Linked DNA regions of Mus musculus: region 2 is reported to be linked to region 1. The links are microRNA targets in miRTarBase. Many come from high-throughput screens and were not tested one by one. Region 1 holds a microRNA gene; the other region holds the end of a gene's coding sequence.

Evidence for each region. The annotated mature microRNA mmu-miR-764-3p reads AGGAGGCCAUAGUGGCAACUGU and lies in region 1 at 1,775-1,796, shown strand. An mRNA with a match to its seed (bases 2 to 7 or 8) in the 3' UTR can be bound and repressed. Matches are read on the target gene's strand: a 7mer-m8 pairs with bases 2 to 8, a 7mer-A1 pairs with bases 2 to 7 and ends in A, and an 8mer does both.
Region 2: the mRNA of Slc25a39 is a reported target of mmu-miR-764-3p. Seed matches in the 3' UTR shown: 7mer-A1 at 2,220-2,226.

Annotation. Positions count from the first base shown.
Region 1 is chrX:147,000,550-147,003,663 of GRCm38, forward strand. It overlaps Mir764 (microRNA 764), which reads left to right and starts at 1,710; the gene lies at 1,710-1,817. All of the region lies in intron 2 of Htr2c (5-hydroxytryptamine (serotonin) receptor 2C), which reads left to right.
Region 2 is chr11:102,400,807-102,403,920 of GRCm38, forward strand. Slc25a39 (solute carrier family 25, member 39) reads right to left here. Exons shown (of 12, transcript NM_026542.3): 10 at 2,985-3,066; 11 at 2,827-2,907; 12 at 2,163-2,729. The coding sequence ends at 2,614. It overlaps Rundc3a (RUN domain containing 3A), which reads left to right. Exons shown (of 11, transcript NM_016759.5): 10 at 88-194; 11 at 1,175-1,749. The coding sequence ends at 1,317. Among named protein-coding and RNA genes, the nearest start is that of Mir6930, 2.6 kb to the right of the region's middle.

The DNA of each region.
Region 1 (3,114 bases):
GAATCAATGATCAGAAATATTATTTGTTTTTTGTTGTTGTGATTTACTGTTTATTTGTTTCAGTACACAATATGAAGTTGTAAATCTATATTTTCTTCCTGTTTTGCCGAACATTTTTAACTCTTCAATTTTTAAAACACTTCTAACTTTAAAAACTGAGTAAATGGAAAAGAATCAGAAAGAATGAAAGCAAAAAGTGTATGGACTCTTTTTACAATGTGCAGAAATAGAAAGCTTCAGAGATCTTTGATTAAATATAAATGTACGATATATCAAAAGTAAAGTAGGTTAATAGATTAATCTTCCAGTATGCATTTGATTATTTCAAGTTAATTAAAACTCTAATCACTCTGGGAGTGTGTGTGTGTGTGTGTGTGTGTGTGTGTGTGTGTGTGTGTGCGAACATACATAGAGAGGTACATGTATGTGCAATAATTGTGTTAGGAAAATCGGAGTATAATTTAAATTCTGTGGTTCATCTGATAATTTCTATAGACTTGTGACACTTTGTCAAGCCCTTGCAAGGATTAAGCATATTAAGAAAAATTAAGATGTTAACTCATATTGATATTTGAAACATGGTACCAACCTCAGAAAATATACAACACTGAGCAAGAAGGTGATGGTGGCTGCTCTCATTGCTTTTGCTCTTCCTCCTCCTCCTTCTCTTACTTTTCTTCTCTTCCTCCTTCTCCACTTCTTTTCTCCCAACTGAATAACATAGGTATTATATAAAAAGAGTGTGTATAATTTTTTAAATGAGTGTAGCATAATTGAAATGATTATGATGATGAATAATAGGTCCTCTTTCCTAATAAAACGTAAACATTTCATGAAAGAGGATAAAGTTGAATCTGTATCTAGTGAGTTTCCAGGCTACTGACTCGGTGATGTTTCAGTTATAGATGAGGTTTATTTCTTTTTTTTCTTTTTGAAACAAAGTCTTTCAGTTCAGCTCATACTGACCTTGTATTTGCTCCACTTTTGCTTTAGCCTACCCGGTACTAAAATTGCATGTGGGCCACCATGCCAAGTATTTTTTTTTCATATTTACTCAGAAATAAGTGAGTCGTTAAATGAAATAATCATTGATTTTTCTGAATAAATTCATTCATAATTTATTAACAGCTACTGTGAACCTATTCAGGTCCAAATGCCTTAAATATAATAGGAAAATTATTCTGATGAACAGGAAGTTGCCCAATAATATTTCATTGCCATGAACTTTAGTTTAACAAATATAAGTCCAATGTATTGTAAATGAAATCCTTGTGTGTTATATTTTAAGGTTATAGTTCTTGTTTTTGAGCATGATTTTGACAATTTTATCAATGTTTTCATTAATGTTCTGTAAAAATAGTGAATATTCATAATAATTTTTAGTATTTATTTTGCTTTTGCTTTCATAGCTCCACAACTGAACATCTTTTATACCCTGATTTTATTATGAAATGCAAAACAAATAGTTCCTCCTGTTACAAAAATTGTGTAAATATTTTGATCAAATCATCTTTGATTTCTATTTATATGATAAAACATTGTGCAAGAAACATTTAAAATACCATTTATTGATTACATTGTAAATTTTATTAAATTCTAATTAAAAAGTCATGAGGACTTTGATTTCTGAAGAAAAACATCATGATGAAAGTAGGAACTCATTTGTTATGTACCTTGTGGTATTGTTGGAAGGTTATCGTGTCATAGTATCAACACAATCTGAATCTTGGAGGCAGGTGCTCACATGTCCTCCTCCATGCTTATAAATACATGGAGGAGGCCATAGTGGCAACTGTCACCATGATTGATTTCGTTGGGATAGAAGATTGACAAGCCGGTTGTAATATTTCTTATAGCAGGAAGACCATCATTATACTTAAACTCCTCAAGGTAGAGCAAAGGAAAGAATTTTTGAAATGTAAAGGTTGGGAAACCAGGATTGTTTTCTCATATTATTTCTACCAAAAAAACACAATGTTTAAACCATCCATTGTCCTTACACCATAATGTCAAAATGACAACTGGTATGTTCCAAAGACAAGAAAATATAGCGATAAAGGAACTGATACATTTTTAGTTGTTTATATACTCTGCCAGTTTTTTGCATAAGAATAAGAATATGTGAGAACATTAGCATATGACCATCATGTTTTATAATCTTCCTAATCATAATAATGCATTAAGTTCAATCTAAGGAATAAGATTGTTTTATGAAACTCTATGACTCTGGAGATTGATATTTGAAGAAATTGTGAATTTTATGGTAACATGATATAACACTAGAATAATTTCCTGACAAACATCATAATTAACATATGAATTTACTATTTCCTTATTCAACAACTATTTTATAACAGCAAATATATGCATGGATTTTTTCATTTACATTCTATTCATAATAGTAATCATCACAGCTTCTAGCAAGAGTCTAATCTGAATCATTAATTCTACAATTGAATTTTATCCCTCTTTACATATACAGTTCAATATATTTTATCCTCACTTTGAAAGAAAATGTAAAACAAGGCTAATGGCTAGGCATGACTATTGAGTAGGAATCACAGGTAACTTCTTAAATGACGCTGATTGACCTCATAAACTGCCAGTTACACTATCATTTGCAACACCACAGGATATAGTTTAAACATGTTTTGGTCTTATGAGATTGTCATTACACTCATCACATAGAAATACGCTGTAAAATGTTTTCATCTTTTCTATGTGTAAATGAACCTTGGTAATATGCTTAAGAATTGCACTTTTAATAACAAATCATCCGTATTTTTAAAATTATGTTGAATTTTCATATATTTTGGATTTGATAGACTGTATAAATGAGAGGAATTTCTTGAAGACTTAGTACTTATAAGGGTCGATGCCTGTATTGAAGACAAAAGCATATTCTTCATATTCACACTGCTTGCAATTAGCAGGCAGGATGTTCTGACCATGCTCTTAGGAGCTGAGCCTTTCTCTTTTACACAATTGAATCATAGCATCTTTTATTCTAGTGTGCTTTCTATTTCACCATTACAGTTTTCATTGTTTTTGCAGTGTTGACAATAAGATCAAACTCAGGCCATCATTTGAATAGCTCATTATCCAATGATGCAA
Region 2 (3,114 bases), not on the chromosome of region 1:
CAACCAAGTGCTGTCCCCATACCCCAGTCCCAGGAAGTGGGGCCTGGAGCTGCGGGTCACTCCCTGCACTTTTCTGTTCTGCTGTAGACACAGCTTCATGAGCACGGAGCCGCTGTCTGCAGAGGCCAGCCTGAGCTCAGACTCCCAGCGCCTGGGAGAGGCCAAGAGGGACGAGGAACCCTGGGGCCCCATCGGTGAGCACACCCCACACACACTCACCCACCTTGGCACTTCAGAAAAGGGATAGGGCCCCTGTAGTCAGGCCGTGGCTGAACCCCTTATTCTCTCAACTCTTCCTGTACTTATACACCAATAAGGAGCTTGGCTTGAGGTTTCAAAACAAAAGTGCAAATTCGGGCCCCACCTCTTCTACCTGTAAACGAGGTCAATCTCTGCACTTGGCTGACTCAGATTCCCATCTGTAAAATAGGGATGTTGGTAAAGAGCCTCCAGAGTGCACGTATGGAGAGGGCGCAACGGCTTTCTAGTGTCATGACACTAGACACATGTTGCTGGCTCTGCCCACACACACACTGTGAACGGCTTGCCTGACCAATGTTTTCCCCTTTCTTTGGCTGCCAGGAAGCTCAGAACCAAATTAGTGGCTCCCTCTGAGCGAATGCCCAGGACTTCAACGCATGCATTTTGTGTTGACCCCTCCTTGGTTACTCCCTTCCTAGTTTCTTCCCCTATGCCTGGACCTCCTGCCTTTTTTTTTTTTAAATACATAGATATATATTATATTGTATTGGATAACTCGACTTTGAGACGAGGCAGGCTTTGGACATGTAACTCACCACACTGTGTTTGTGACTGTGTGTGTCTCCCCACCAGACTGTGAGCTCCGTGAGGGCAGGGACCATGTCTTGTCCATTCTCTGTATCCCCAGAGTGTGAAATAGAGCAAATGCTCACTGTGTGCTTAATAAATGGACAAAGAAAGGCTGAACCTTGGGGAGACAGAGACATAAACTGATGGTTTATGACACAGTGTCTCAAGCCCTGTGCAAGGAATGTTCAATCAAGGTTTAATTAAAAATGACAGATGCTCCAGAAGAGGCCACGTCCCCTGGGGGTGACTGGAGAACTGCCCCCCTTCTGCCCACCCACGAGGACCTCCTCCCCACATACAACACAGGCTGGTTGGCCCGGCCTTACCCGCCCTCTCTCCCTAGGGAAGGACCCCACGCCCTCCATGCTGGGCCTCTGCGGCTCCCTGGCCTCCATCCCCAGCTGCAAGTCCCTGGCAAGCTTCAAATCCAACGAATGCCTGGTGAGCGACAGCCCTGAGGGCAGCCCGGCGCTCAGCCCCAGCTGAGGAGCACCAAGGGCAACACCAGCCCCACCTGCCAGGGGCCATGGACAACTGCCACCTTATGAGTCCCCCAACCCAGGCCACCCTTCAAGAACACCACCAACCTAGCCTCGGGTCTCTAGGGAAAGATGACCCAAGCCTCTTTCCTGCTTCAGCTTCCTGCCAAGGAGGCAGGAGCTGCATGGGAAGTGGTGGGGCCACGAGGGACACCCAGATTACAGATCCTCAGTCCCCTGGGGACAGCGCTCCATTCTGGTGGCTCTGAAGGCTGCCTGGTTCCTTCTGATTTCTTCCACACCTGCCTCAGGAGCAGGTGGTCCAGCCCTGGCATTCCTGCTGCCCTGCCTCTGGTCTAACCCTGTGTACCCTCTGAAGTCACCCTTCCTTGGTACCTATGTGGGGAGAGATTAGGCAAATAAAAACCAGAGGACTGAAGTGGTTTCATCTGTTGGAGAGTGGGGTAAGGGCTCCCTAACAGGTCTGTTAACCAAGGTACACATGCCAGGAGGATGTGCCCTGGGGGACCACATGGGGCCATCATTCAGGGTGTGGGCTGAGTGGGAGGGGGCTCCGGATTCTGTACATCTGCAGGTGCTTTCTGGATCTGACCCTTCTAAGACTTGCTCTCACCCCAACACAGTGGGCCCCACATGAAAGGCCCTTACTACCTACCAGACAGGCACCTTTCACCCAGATCTGTCTGGGTACCCCCTAAGGTGGGAAGCTTTTAAGACAAGGTCTCTGGATGGCCTGGAGCTCAGTATGTAGGCCAGGCAGGCTTCAGATCTGCTCGCCATGAACTCTCGGGGCCACCATACCTGTAGATGCCAGCTTTTTGTTGCTGTTGGTTTTTTTTTTTTTTGTGAAGATAGAATTTGGCTGTGTAGTCCTGGCTGGCTTGGTATTGGAGGCACTCCTCCTGCCTCAGCCTCCCAAGTGAAGGAATAACAGGTGTGGGCCACTGTGTCTGACTGGGGACCCCCAAACGTGCACACGTACCCCAAGACACTACAGCCACAGCTGTGCACAGAAGACCATCATCTTTAGACAAGGAATGAATGGGGCCAAGATACTGCCTGGCCCAAGCTCCTCGGGCCAAGCTATAACAAACATGGGGATACAAAAAAGGGCGATCATCAGATTTGGTCTTGAATTCGGGAGGCGGGAGAGGGGCAATCCTGGGAAGGGAAACAGCAGGAATCCAGGTCTGAGGACAGCCTGGGTGACTGGACTGGGAGGGAAGGCACTTGGCTCAGTCTCCTGATCCCACCCGTGCAAGAGCCGGTTGCTCCCCGACTTTCAGCGGCCCAGAGGCTGCTCCTGGTTGAGCCTCTGGAAGAAGCTTTTGCCAAACTCGTAAGTGCTGATCATGATGGCACAGGAGGGTGCAGCCTTGATGATCCTGGGGAGGAAGCCTGTGATGGAAAGACAGACCACAGTGAGGGGTCCAGGTCCCCTCACACACACAGCATGGATATGTATCATATATGCAGTGCATTCACAGAGACAGACCTGCAAAGAGTCCCCTGGTGCCAGATTCAGCCCGGATTCTGCGAAGCAGGAGCCAGGTGGAGTCCACTCTGGGCGGCTTCACTGCAGATGCAAGGCCCGGCTCAGTAGGGCTCAGCTCAGGCCCCTGCCTGCCCTCTCCCCTCACCAGCCCAGCTTACCTCTCACAGCCTCCACCGCTCCCAGTGACATCTGTCGCTGTGTCTTCACCACATCGAAGGGTAGGGTAAGGGTGGCAGCCACCTGGTCAGGTGAGGACAGGGCTCAGCTCCATTCCCAAGCCCTGAGAGG